2 linked regions of the Schizosaccharomyces pombe genome follow. The protein of the gene in region 1 purifies or fractionates together with the protein of each later gene. This does not show direct contact. Each region holds a gene or a part of one and is shown on either strand. Other genes may lie near its edges. The genes, in order: sgo1 and ppa1.

Region 1 (7,042 bases):
AAGTCAACCAAAAAATAGTACGTTCTCTTTCTTTCTTTTTTTTTTTTTTTTTCTCTAAATAATCAAATCCATAATGTTCAATCCTCCCACACCAATGTAATCCCGAATGTACGCATATCCATGTTTCTCTTAATAAACATTCACCATGGAAAAGAAAACACGTTACATATGGCGTGCCATTTCTTTCTTCAATGTAAAATTATACAAAGTTATACTTTTACGCTACCCCCAGCCTTGGCTTGCCCTCCCCCACCCTTCTTTCCATGACTTGTTTCACATCTATAGCGAACCTTTTCCCTTGGTCTTGCTTTGGTTGTCACCGTATTTCTGCGCTGTAACTTTGTCACGTGTCACCGTTCATTATTCTTGCATGTTCAAGCAACCGGTTTTTATCAAAATCCTATACATATATATTGTTACAATGAGCGCCACACGGCCCACATCCTACCCGCCTGGATAGAAACAATGTTACCAAGGAAGAACTTTGGTGTTGTCTTTTTCATGGGCCTTTTAGCTTAGTTGTTCGTATGCCTTGAAATTCTGTTCCTCATACAGTGCTACAAAAGTCTCGCTAATTTAACGTTGAAATTTCTACACTTTCTTTCATCTACCACGTAGAAATTTACGACTGAATAACTTTTTTTTGCGAGAAAACCAAAAAAAAAACAAAAAGGCCCCTTTATATTTATGTATAGATTTTCTTTTATTTATTTTTTAAAATTCTGGTATTCATACTATTCATCGAATATTTTCAAGTTGGTGTTTAAAAGTCAGTAAGGAGGTTGTTTGCTTATACTGTCAACGTTTCTTTGGTACAAAAGTGAGTTTTCGGTTATTGTCTCAAAATCAAAATTTTTTAAAAAGCAATAAAATAATTCATCGTTAAAAAACTACTTTTATATTCTTTCTTTTCAGTTTTGAATTCTGATTTTGATTCCATTTTTGTTTTTCTTTTGCTGAAGACTAGTAAAGCTTCTAAGAAAAATATTTTAACGCATAACGTACTTCTGGTCTCGGGAGGCTTTTTCGCCATATTTTTCCGCTTTTGGTTTTCTTCCTATTAGTTGTTTTGTTTGAGTATTTGCTTCCGAGTGTCGGTCTTACGTCTTAGTGTGCTCGCAAATAACTTTCCCTTTTACTTTTTGTTAGCGAGTTTACCGTTTATTTATTCACCTATCAACTCGCCTAGTCTTGCATTTTTAACGATTTCCTTAGAAGTTTGTACTAAATGTCTGGCCCTCACCATTGTTCCGCTGACTGTGATGAACATCCGTTTGAGTCTGGTCCAAATGATACCTTGTATTCTTGCATCCGAAAGGAATCAATTGTTACGCTGAATGAAGCTGTACCAGATTCCGGAAAACTCGTCTTCAAACCTTGGGACCTTCGTTATGATGACACTGATATCGTAGAAAGTGATGCTGATGACCAACTCTTGTTTCAGGTACCGTTTGCAGGTGCGGCAACACTAAAATCAATTTTGGTTCGCATTTTTCCTAATGAAACCGCTCCACACTCCTTTTCACTTTTTCCCAATCGTACCGACTTGGATTTTGACACAATCGGTGATGTCCAAGCCACTGAAACATTTGAATTTCCCTTGACTTTTGAAGGAAGCCATATCTTCGAGTTTCCTGTTAAGACTCGTCTCTATCAAAACCTTCAAAATCTCAATATCTTCTTCACCAAAAGCGACGGTTCTGATGATCCTACACAAATCGCCTACATTGGTCTTCGTGGTTCTTTTGTTCCCTTCAAGGGTGATCCTGTTGTAACCATTTACGAAGCTACTCCTAGACCTTCAGATCATCCCAAAGTTAACCAAGAGGAGGTTTTCCGTTCTTACTATTAAGCTCCCGGGAAGTTTAGATTCCTTCCTTTTGGTTTTTTCCTCTCTTATTTGAGATTTTTGTTTTACCCAAAGCAAAATAAAAAATATATATGAAACGATACGAATACGCTTTGATTTGGATTTTTTTTAATGACGGTTATTTAAAGAATATCTAACGCCCTTTTTCTTTTCTTTTTCTTAAATGGCTAAGTCTCCATACTTTTTTAGCTTATGTTTAAATGTTGGTTTGTATTTATTGGCCGATTAATTATGTGTTTATGTAAAAGAAATGAGCCTTGATTAGGTTCTTTTTTTCTTCCTCTATTATTTTTTGTTTTTCTCTTGAATTTAAATGTTGCTTGCAGTAGATTAAATTATAAATTAGCTGTGCTATAAATGTGAAAATATTTAACAATGTGACCTCAATATAATTTATGCTTTGCCTCTGGGATGTCGTTTGCGTTTTCTATCAGATGGTAAGTCAAAGTCTCGTCGTAGTTTAGTTCGCAAACTGGGTATTGCATAGTTTATCACTTTGACTGATCGTCTTAGTTTTTCACGTCCATTAATCCTTGGTTGAGATTCTTCAAAATCACATGGGGAGCTGTCTCCGGTTGCTTGTCCTTTAAGGTCAGTTATCTGTTCAGCACTTTTACAAGGAATACAAACACAAACATTTGATGTTTTAGCCTTTTCTTCTTCAGTTTCGCCCTCGTTGATGGATTCAAATTCGTTTTCTTTTAATTCCTTTGAAAAGATGGTGATATTTTTTTGCGGCAATGAGTAATTCACCTCATCTTGTGGTATTTTGTTTACGTGGGCATTGGTTTTATCTTTTAATATACATTTTCCAGGTTTTTCAGATAGAGCCGGAGGACCATGGACTTTTTTTTGGAAATCTTGAAAACAATACAATGGTTGCCCTGTTTCGAGACTTTTAAGTTCATCATTAAATGATACATACTCCAAGCGTTTATTATGCAAAATCTGATAATCTTCTTTCGAATCTTTATTTTCACAGGTTGTAAATTGACTTTTTACATTCGCTTCGAGGAAATCTGATGAACACTTTTTCTCTATAATCTTCAGTAAACTTTGCACTTGTGAAATCTTTTTGTGAATGGTTTGTATCTCAGGAAAGAAGTTTTTTAACAAGTCCTCAGTTTGAGATTGATTGCGAAATCGAGCTTCAAGTTTAACCAAATAACTTTTCAAAGTGAAATTTTCTTGTATCAAATCTTGAATTTCGTTTTCAGATTCTCTAATTTTTATAGAAAGCTGAGTATTTATTCTGAAAGTTAGATGTTTATTATTTACCACAAGGGATTCAAAAATGGTGTACTTTGACCTTACTTTATAATTTCACGATTTTGTTTTAAAAATTTCTTTTTCAACGACTCCATCGGCAATTTATCTTCATTGTTTATATTTGAATTTATAAATTGAAAGTTCATAGCTTTTTTAAAGCTTTTTTTGCGAAAAGCAATTAAGGACTTGCTGATGTAAACAAACCTGTTAAGTGTAAGGTAAACAATCGCAAACTAAAGTCTTGTCATATTGAGAAAGGCTCTTTTCTTTAAGGAACTTGCCAAATCAATGTAAATTAGTATATAATAAATTAGATGAAAGATGGTTGTACGACTTAATGCAGCCCATATCCTGAATAAAAATTGATAAAAAGAACATAAAATTAATTACTGCTTCGCTATCCGACAATATCCATCCAACTCCTGAGAGATTAAATGTAATATTCGACGAATTCTTTCATCAAACTTTTGGAAATAATGATGCAATTGTGAGAAATTAGATTCGTCCGTGGTCTTTCCTATTGCTATAAAGTTAGAGGACAAGGGAGCTTTATACTTTTTGAAAACACCTCTAAAGAATTCATAAGCTTCCAGTATACTGGTGAGATAACCATGAAAAACAGTACAAAAACTGAGATCGTAAGTCTAAGTAAGTAGTCGGTTAGTATGCATCATTAAGAAAACGTGTTAAACATTGGCATATTATATCAACGAACGTTGAATTTAACTACATGCAAAGGTATAACATTATCAACCCTAAAAATTGCAGATACGTCTTTTGGATAAGATCCCTTACATAGTAGTCCGCTTAAAATTTATGTAAAACTTACTATAGGTAAAAGCTCCATGTTCTTGCTAGCATGGTCTTTTCCAAAAGGGTATCTTATGCTGTCTAATATTGCTCGAAAATGTGAAATGCTCCTGGTCGTAACGTAAAACCCTTTTTCAGTCAACAAATAATTCCGAAACTCAGCCGTAGTAATATAAATGGAACGAGCAACGTCTTTAGCATCGCCATCGGATTCCTGAATTAGACATTGTATGTTTCTAGCATGAGATAACAAAGCGACCGTTCTAACTGTTAGCCATAAAATGGTAAAGAGTTTCTTATAAAAATGTAATCGTATTAAAATGGGTAGGTTAATACCAGATACGAACCTTTTTTTAAAATTGTTTCTAACCATAAACGAGTCAAGTGCTTTTCGGTCAAGTGAGACTCCATGGAAGCGAATTTTATCATTTTTAGAAAATCTAATAAAGTTAGTAAGTAAACTCATAAATCATTCACTTTAAATTTTAAAACTTCAGGCGACAAACACAGAAATTCTTATAATTACACACACATTTCAAAAAACTTGGCTATATATGCTTCATTTTTATTAATTCTATCCTCAATGGAGCTATTAGATATCATATTTCGAAGCCGCTCTTGTCAATTTTAGACTCAAATCGTTTAACACACATGCACATGCATGTGCACGCACTAAGAAGTTAGAAAAGGGAGATCTATTTAACACCTGATAAAACTTGGGTTAAAACTTCAAGTCTACAGTCTTGATACGAAATTATATCTACGCCATAGAGAAAAAAAAATAAAAATTACATACTATGGTTTGACAGATTTTAGCGTTAGTTTTTGAAGAGGTCGTATACAGCATATTAGGTATACGCTGCAGTAATTATAACCCAATAAGTCAAAATTTTTTCTTTATTTGTTGCTGATTGTTTCCTTTACTAAAAAGGGATTTACCATTACTCAAAAGAAATTACCTAGTTTCCAATAAATCATATGGCATTTGTCCAGTTCAAATACTTTAAGACACGTATAGTTTATTTTTTGAATGTCCAGCTAAAAAATATATTACACGAATCAGTATAAAAAGAATTCCTTTCTTTTATTCTATTTATTTGTAATTGAAAACGAATTAGCTTCCGTTGTCATTTTACCAATTGTTAGTACCTAGAATACATATGGTTTGGTTATATATGTGTATGTATATATTATTTACTACAATAGTACAATGTCAGTTTTAAGACAATATTGAGTTATGTTAAAGGAAAGCAACATTAAAAGATTAAACGAGAACCAGCAAAGTAGGCTAGTGCCAGCAAATTTGCAATCGAAATAATTAAAGAATTTGATTTAAGCACCCGCTCAAAGACGCTATACAGCGTTTCTCAAATTAATATTAAAAAAAGATGAACCATTTATCCCGTACTCTGAAAACCAAATCATCAAATGATTGATATTGTGAAAGCATATCTACCGCATAGTAGAACAACACTTATTTAAGTTAAGAAAGTGAGTGACTCTAACAATAGTTGAAGCTTCGAAACTAAGAAAAGCAACGACAGCATATCATATCAAAAAATCCTCCTTTTGCTTCCGAATCAGAATTATCGTTAGGATGATTTACTCCGACTGCATTATTCGAGGGCTGAGATACATACATAGGTCGAACCCTATCGTAACCTCTAGAAGAATGAGCATAAATTGTTTTTTTAGAAGCAGACTGTTCTTGACGCACCAATGGAGCGTTTTTGCTCGGCAACGCATCGAACGATGAGTAATTTCTAGGACCTCTCACCCCATATGAGGATTTAAATCGCATGTTCTGTGTTTGCAAAGTACTGTTCTTTTTTCTGGAATCATCATTTTGAACAACATTTAAGCCAAGGTAATTCTTTCGTCGCTTCATAGCAACAACAGAAAAATGAGAAGAGCTTGACTCCCAACCTTTACCGTCATTCAATAACATCCAATCATAAACCCCATCATTCGTATCACCATTTGCTCGAAGTACATCATCAAATAACTCTTGTAAAAACGCATAATCCGGTTCTTCATCAAATTCTAACGAACGCACATAAGTCATGTATTTACTGAATTCATTAGGAAATCCAGCACAAAGCTCACTAATGGAGGTAGATTGCTTCTTTTCACTAATCTTTTCGTATTTGTGCTTATTGTTGGCAGCTTTCAATCCTTGCCAAGGTAAACTTCCCCTCAAAAAATACATAAAGACGTGTCCCAACGATTCTAAGTCATCGCGACGGGATTGTTCACGTCCAAGATGCGTGTTTATACTCATATATCTCGCAGTCCCCGAGAGGCTTTTACGTTCACTATATGGTATATGTTGCTTGGTTTTGGGATCACGGTAATATTTGGCCATACCAAAATCAACCATATATACCATGTTTGCATTTCGAGAGGAAGGTCGGCCTATTAGGAAATTATCGGGTTTGATGTCTCTATAAACAAGGTTTTTTTCATGAATCGTCTGAACTCTGGAAAGCTTTGAAATGTCAGAGAAAATTTAAACAAATTGAAAACCTTATAGGAACAACTTAGGAAACTTACCATCTGTTTCGCCGTCATAGCCACCGTTTTGACACTGAATCGACGACCGCACCATTCAAATAGGTCCTCTAAACTAGGTCCCAGTAAATCAATAACAAGGATATTATGTAGTCCTTCCTGCCCGAAATAGTAAACATTAGGAATGCCAGCTATTTGCAAATACGGTTAGTACCAAAGTCTTGACCATATGTTTTGGGTAGCAAAATAAAAACATACCATTTCCAACTAGTAATTTATAAGTTCTGTATTCATCACGGAGCTGAGGTGCCTCCGACTTTTTGGGTTCCTAACGTCCATTGTTAGTATTGTCCATATACTCATCCTAACAAAGAACATACAAATTTTATAGCAATAAGTTGGTTATTCAAAAGATTCATCCCATCGAAAATAACACCAAACGATCCCTCACCTATTTTACGACCCACGCGATAGTGAACCCCTACTACGCTCGTTTGGGAATTCATGATAAATAACCCTGTCACAAGGAATTGACCGAACAGATAAAATTTTTTTTATTGCAAGGACTATGCAGTTTTTATG
Region 2 (7,756 bases), on another chromosome or scaffold:
AAAGTCATTTTCATCGTCAAGTTCAATAAGAAAAGCGGACGCATCGCGTAATCCTGCGTTTCCTCCACGTCTCCTCCTTGTTGATCTTTCTAGAAACCTCATTGTTTGGGAAGGTCATCTGAAGGATGTTGCTGTTTCAATCTTGCCATTAAAACATGGGTTTTTGGTAGTGACCGCTGATGATAACGTTTTTGAGTTAAAACGAATCACTTTGCAAGAAGAGATTTCGCTGCTTTGCCAAAAAATGATGTACAACTTGGCAATATCTTTAGCCAAAAAAGAAAATATGGACATTGAATTTAGAGAATCATTAATGCGAGATTATGCCTCCTTTCTTTTCCGTAGAGGTGACTTTTCGGCTTCTATGGATTGGTATATACGTTCTATTAAGTCGATCGACATTCCTTCCGTATGTCTTGAATTTTTGAAAGCTCAAGAAATTAAGCAACTTATCCGTCTTCTTGAAGAACTTATAAAGACGGGTTTAGCGACTTCTGATCACCGATTATTGCTATTATCTTGTTATGTTGAGATACATGACTCCCCTTCAATTAGGAAACTTATTGACATAGGTGAAATTGATTTTGATCAAGCATTTAAAATTTGTTACGATTCTAATTTGTTAGATGAAGCGAAGCATTTAGCAATACGTTTCAATAATAACGAGCGGGTTTTAGATGTTCTGGTTGAAAGTGAACAGTATTCTGAAGCATTAAGGTTTTTCGAAAGTTTACCCCCTTCAAATTTGCTTCCATTGCTTTTAAAATATGGCCGAGTTTTATTAGATAAACTGCCTGAAAAAACGACCAATATTTTTATACAATTTTACTCCAATTCTCACAGAGGGGATTTATCTACCTCTGAATCTAAAGGTGAACTTAAGACTGCGAAATCTTTGAGACAAACTTATCTTTCACTACTTCCCTATGCACAGGTTGCTAACTTTAGTTTACCTCCTAGTTTATACGAAATTTCTCCTTCTCAAGAGGAAAATCAACGTGCAGCATTGTTTTCAGAGGATGTTTCTTATACTGCACCAAGTCCACAAACCTGCTTTCATATTTTTTTAAATCATAACTCAGAATTGATTTCATTTCTGGAAGGAATATTACCAAATGCATCACCAAATTACAAGACTCTCATTAATACATGTCTTTTCGAAGCGTATATAAGAGAATCATTTGCGTCCTCAAACGTTGAAAAGCAAGAATTTTGGCAAGAAAAGTCTAATTCCCTTCTAAAAAAAGTAGAAAAAAACGTAGACCTTAATGCAGTCTTTTTAATATCTCAAATTCTAGGATTTGATGACGGGGTTCGTTTTGTTCAAGGAAAATCGGGTCAAACGCTTGATATATTTCGCTCTTTCTGTCAGCAAAACGATATTGAACGGGCATTAAAAATGGTTCGTGTTCATGGTCCAGATCAGCAAGAGTTGTACATCATGATGTTGAACTGTTTTGCGTCTTTAGAAAACGTTGATAGTTGGTATCAGGATATCAACGAAATAGTTAACATAATTGTTTCTCAACGTCTTATTTCGCCAACACAATTGTTAGACATTCTTGGAAAATCAGTCAATATCAAGCTCGAGCACATTAGTGACTCAATGCAATCTGTTCTTGACAATTATCGTGAATCAATCTCGAAACAAAATGAGGCTATTGAAATGGGTAAGCGGGATATTGAAGAAATTACTAGTCAACTTTCAATTCTTCGTACAAGAGCATTTGTCGTGCAAGAGTCTAAATGCTCTACCTGTGGAATCGATTTAGAGTTACCTATGGTACATTTTCGCTGTGGACATTCGTATCATCAGCGGTGTGTTGAAGATGAATGTATTCGTTGTCGATGGTTATAATGAGTCAAAAATATGAAAATTAAATACAAAGAAAGAATGGAAGTAATGCATTATTTATTGTACGAAATAAGTTACTCAAGTCAAAATTATGATTAAGAATATTTCATTAATATTTTTTTTGGCAAAATGGAATTAGGTAGTTACACTTGGATTCTCTGATAAGGTTTCTTAGTTTGAATAAATGAAGATATACATCTGCTTTGCTCATAACGCAAATATCTGCTCTTTTTAAAACTTGTAATCTATAAAACCTTTACCATAAAATCTTGTAATTAACGATTGTTAATGTAAATAATTCAACGCTTGAATGCTAAACCAAACAAGTGAATAAAGGTGTAAATAATAACTCCACCGCCTACCGTAAATTTGGTCGCCAGAATAGACAGTTGACGATAAGTCAATTGAATGCGGTAGTCTGTAGACAAAAAGCGAGATAGGAAATATTTTAGCGAATCCAAAAAAGAGTGAAACGTATCGTAATTAATAGGAGGAAGAATTAAGGACGCAGAATTTTTGGGAAGGTTTTTATTGTCAATTTTCGGAGAAGTAAGCTCTAATGCTTGGCCGACAGCTTCACCTTTTTTATCAAGTTTCTCGGAAATCTTTTTCAGTTCATCATTTATTTCAAGTTCTCGTTCCTTGTCAATGTGATCCACAGCTTCACGAACCAACCGTTTCCTTTTCCTTGGTTCCAATATTAGTTGAACGACCACAAAAAGAACAACGTTAATTCCCATTAATCCCCATGTACCCCAGGTACTTGCTTGCCGGATTTTATCACTCCAAACTTGTTCTTCGTGGTATCTCGATAAAATCGAACGCACCAATCCATTTTGAGCTTCCTCTACCCGCCTTTCCGCTACATCCACATCTTCTTGAGCCTTAATTTCTTCTTCTTTGTTTGAATAATCATCACGGTATAGTTTAGTAAATCTTTCTAAATCAATAGTAGACCAGCTACTACGTCGTTGTAACAATTCGTTGACTTCACGTTGACTTGACGATCTTTTTTCAACCGCTTCAATATAACGCTTTCTTGCTTCAGCTGCAGATAATCTAAAATCACGGAGCTTTGTCTCCTGCTTTACAACCGCGTTCTTTAATGCCTCAATGGAGGAATAACCAGTTAATTCATTCAAGCGTTGACTCGCTTGGAGTATAGTCTGTTGAACTGATCCATTTCCTTTATTATAGATTTTGGGAAAGCGAGCAGCAAATCCCTTAATAGACTGAGAAAGTCGTTGCAACATACTTTCTTAATACTTATACATTACTGTTATATCCTTTCATGTCTTCATATAGTGAGTTAAACATAATGTACTGCTGCACCAGCCATAAAGCTGGTTTACGGAAATATTCATAAACAGCTTAGAATATGCTATTTATAGTTAGGTATCAGCAATACTATAATACGCTATAATACTTACGTTGCGTATCACTATATGTCACATGTCCTAATTAAATATCGTACTATGTATGATACGATATTGAGACTGATCTTAATGATAATCTATTAATATTTATATCATCTGAATACTATAAATAGAGCTACTGCTAAACCTCGTTCCTCAGTTCAGTTACAAGCTATACCAGTGATAGGTAACATTATAACCTTGTTAATACAATACCTACACTCAGTTGCTACTTATATTATCTGTGTATTGCGATATTATAGGTCACAAGGAAAACTCACCGCAGTTCTACGTATCATTAAAACGAATACGAAACTGCGTAGCTAACATTAGGATAAGCGAAACTCACGCTTGAGAGAATGTTGTAGATGTAAAAAGCATTTGAAATTTAAAAAGAAAAAACAAAAAAAAAAAAAATTACACTTCACTTTACAAGGCTTGGGCCACTTTTCTTAGGATTTATGGTAAAACGTACTGAGGATATCGTTTACCCCTTGCAGAAATATAGAATATCATTTCTTTTCTTTGATAAATATATGCTTTAAGTTAATTCAACCTCTACACTAATTTCGATTTTTAATCTGCAGCCCTTTAAAATAAAGAAGACTGTAAATTACTTTAAGAATTTCATTTTTTTGCATATAAAAGATAAAATATGACATTTATCATGACTCGAACAAACGACTGCTTGCTAATCACGGAATAAACAACAAACTTTATATCAGTGCTGGTAAGTTTCGTTACTTTAAATCCTAGAGTTGGATAGCTGTACAAAGCAAGCAATTTCAGCAATTCAAAAAGATTTGGACTATGGCTCAGAAAAAGCAGTTATACGTATTCAGTGACTTTGACGGTATGAAAAAATAATTTCAATAAAAACAGACAACTAACTTTTGGGGTCTAGGAACTATTACACTCCAGGATTCCAATGACTACTTAACTGGTAAGGTTGGGAATAGGAAGATTGTTACAGATATAAAAAGATGTATAAAGGTAGTTAGAAAATGTTCTTACAATTAAGCTTAACTGAATATTTATTGAAGATTTACGAAAATCTGTAAGAGAAATCTATGATTTTATAACATTGGGTCAAAAATTTCCCTGCCCACCTTGAATGCTTTATTACTGCAACACTCGACGGCGACGGTTTACTAACTATGTTTTAGACAACTTTGGAATGGGCAACGCCAACCGTGTGAATCTAAATCAACAAGTTCTTGACGGTTCCATTTCTTTTCGGTAAGCGTTTGACGCGTAAATCAACTCTTAACAATTCATAGTGATGCTTTCGCGAAGATGTTGGATTCAGTGCATTTAAGCTATGATGAAGCTTTGGAGGTTCTCAAGAAGAATGTCGCCATTGATCCATCATTTAAACCATTCTATGAATGGTGTAAGTCTCAAGACATTCGTGTAATCATCCTTTCAAGTGGTATGGAGCCTTTTATTCGTGCACTTTTTGAGCAATACCTTGGCAAAGAAGAAGCAAGTAGTATTGAAATTGTTTCTAATGACATCAATGTGCATCCTGATGGTCAATGGAACATTGTGTATCATGATGACAGTCATTTTGGACACGACAAAAGCCTTACTATCCGTCCGTATGCTCAATTGCCAGAAAGTAAACGTCCTCACATGGTCTATTGCGGAGATGGTGTTTCCGATTTGAGTGCTGCGAAGGAAACAGAACACTTGTTTGCCAAGAAAGGACGTGATTTAATTAAATATTGTGAAAGGGAGAAAATTTCTTTCTCTGAATTCGAAACCTTTGCTGATATCCATAAAGATTTGCAAAAATTATTCTTTAGCAGTTAAATCTGAATAATACCTAAGAAGTTTTCGTACTTCAACATTTTTATACCTAAAGTTGATAGATATTTGTTATCAGCGCCTCGAAACTTAGTTTCAAGCAGGTCCTCATAGCAATTTAAATGCATCATTCACCAACGGTTCGATTAGTTTGGGTTGTTAGAAGCAATGATTTAACATAATTTGTATTTATATACTCATCCATTTGCGAGTCTTGTATGAAAAATCCTATATCATATCAGTCCGTAAGTGGTCGCATTGCTACAATATCTCTTTATTTTTTTTAAGAAAGAAAATAAAGAGATATTAAATTTTGCGTCTTTTGGTCGTGAGATCGCCGAAATAAGGTAGCGAGTATAACATAATGTAGATCACGCATATTGTTATATTTTGGTTTGGTAAAGTTACTCAAAGTCAGGAAACTTGTAATGATGTTTTAAGGGGCTTGCAGAAAAAATTGCTATTACGAAATCCATGTCTGTAATATTTTGGTTATTAATAAATTGAAATAAAATTTAAAACATGAAATATTGTGACTTTATGTATCCTGTCTACTACCATACCTTTCAACCTTCATACAAATTTTCCCGTACTCGCATCATTTTCTTTCTTCACCTAACTCCCCACCGTGTCTGTAAAACATAATATTTCTCTTTCCCACATACGAACGAATAAATAATAAAATACAGTATATGTACAGTAAACGTACCTCAGACACCATTATTTTGTCAAGAAAGTGAATAAGCTTACAATACCCCCGTCATCCAGTGAATTCGTAAGTGGGAAGTTGAAAAACGCATGCTCAACGCAGGATAGCATACAAACGGAAAAGCCCTTATGGATTTTTCTGTGGATGCTTTTCTTTTTAATTAAAAATTTAGTCGTTTATTAACTATTGCTTTAAGTTTTTTTCAACAAGATGTCTGTCTCTGGAAAAATTGGAGAGGTCGATCGTTGGATTGAACAGTTGAGTCGATGCGAACCTCTTTCAGAGGAAGATGTCATTCAAATGTGTGATCTCGCAAAAGAGGTACTTTCTGTAGAATCAAACGTTCAAAGCGTCCGATGCCCTGTAACGGTTTGTGGTGATATTCATGGACAATTCCATGACTTAATGGAGTTGTTCAATATTGGCGGCCCTTCACCTGATACAAATTATTTGTTTATGGGAGATTATGTTGACAGAGGATATCACAGTGTAGAAACAGTTTCTCTACTGATTGCTTTTAAAATTCGATATCCCCAGCGTATAACAATATTACGTGGAAACCATGAATCTAGGCAAATTACACAAGTTTATGGATTTTATGATGAATGCCTTAGAAAGTATGGAAATGCGAATGTTTGGCAGTACTTTACAGATCTTTTTGACTATTTGCCTCTCACCGCCCTAATTGAAGATCGAATTTTTTGCCTTCACGGAGGTCTTTCTCCTAGTATTGATACACTTGACCATGTTCGTATATTAGATCGTGTGCAAGAGGTTCCTCATGAAGGTCCGATATGCGACTTGTTATGGTCAGATCCTGATGACCGACCTGGTTGGGGTATTTCTCCTCGAGGTGCTGGGTATACGTTTGGCCCGGATATTGCTGAAGCATTTAACCATAATAACGGTTTAGATTTAATAGCAAGAGCTCATCAGCTAGTTATGGAAGGTTATAATTGGACTACAAACCATAATGTTGTTACTATTTTTTCTGCTCCCAATTATTGTTATCGATGTGGAAACCAAGCAGCCATTATGGGAATTGATGACCACATAAATTACGCATTTATCCAATATGATACTGCTCCCCGAAAGGAGGAATTACATGTCACCAGAAGAACACCCGATTACTTCTTATAAGTCATCGTATGTTTTACTTTCTTCTTGGACTTGTTAATAGCTGGAATTTTTCATGGTTGGATTTTAGCGTTGTCAACGTGCCGCTAAAAATTTACTTTAATTTTATGGGTTTCTAATAGAATGTTGTTATCTTCGAATTTTTAATTCTCCTGTTTCGGTACAAATATTGAATTTATGGAATGCATATAAAATTTATATAGGATATATGATGCACTTGTAAGGTGTCTACCGTAATGATAATTTTTCACATCTGTACCGGTGTATAATATATTAGTGAAACACCAACTTATCGACATTAACATTTTAATAAATTATCTACAAAGGTCTAAACATAAATGATAGCATGTTCAGTAAATAAAAAAAAAACATAAGACCATGAAAGCTAAAACATTGTGAAGCTGATGTATGAGTAAATTTAAAACTTGTGCGCAAAAAGTTAATCGTCAAAGCTAGATATGTTAATAATCGAAAATTTAACAAACAGCTTACATGTAACGCTCAAGTAAAGCACAATTTCCTCCATTTTTAAGATTTACTGCGAACCGATAATAGTGTCCTGAATAAGAAGCTACTTGTATGTGCGGACCGCTGCTCGAAAAAATTATTTTTCCATAGAAAGAAGCTTCAGGAATCTTAGCAGTTGCAAATTCTTTCCTAGTGTCCCAAACTTTTGCTACATTTGAAGTTAAATATTTTGACCAAGAAGATGACACAGTTACGGAAGATGTAGGAGACGAATTCGGATCCGATGGTTGCTTAGAGATTTTGAAAACGTGAATAGTACCATTTTCAGAAGCACAAGCCAGAAAAGGCTCAACTGGGTGAAAT

The links.
Region 2: the proteins of sgo1 (region 1) and ppa1 purify together in Schizosaccharomyces pombe (affinity purification with mass spectrometry, with the first as the bait; one study listed by BioGRID). This does not show direct contact.

What each region holds. Positions count from the first base shown.
Region 1 is NC_003423.3:965,483-972,524, forward strand, and holds sgo1 (shugoshin Sgo1), read right to left. Parts: upstream 3,286-7,042; coding exon 3,185-3,285; exon of another isoform or gene 3,123-3,184; coding exon 2,264-3,122; 3' UTR 2,254-2,263; downstream 1-2,253. Other genes in the region: poteasome interacting protein Txc1, read left to right, coding at 1,229-1,852; SPOM_SPBP35G2.04C (uncharacterized protein), read right to left, coding at 3,526-3,783, 3,969-4,389, 4,482-4,552; serine/threonine protein kinase (CK1 family) Cki2, read right to left, coding at 5,475-6,437, 6,503-6,651, 6,719-6,788, 6,841-6,966.
Region 2 is NC_003424.3:2,602,105-2,609,860, forward strand, and holds ppa1 (serine/threonine protein phosphatase PP2A catalytic subunit Ppa1), read left to right. Parts: upstream 1-5,691; 5' UTR 5,692-5,854; exon of another isoform or gene 5,855-5,912; intron 5,913-5,984; 5' UTR 5,985-5,998; coding exon 5,999-6,928; 3' UTR 6,929-7,256; downstream 7,257-7,756. Other genes in the region: vps11 (HOPs complex subunit Pep5/Vps11), read left to right, coding at 1-1,858; protein She9, read right to left, coding at 2,155-3,108; ptf1 (phosphoric monoester hydrolase), read left to right, coding at 4,081-4,123, 4,175-4,213, 4,437-4,509, 4,551-5,085; phosphatidylinositol-3,5-bisphosphate binding protein Atg1802, read right to left, coding at 7,365-7,377, 7,418-7,756.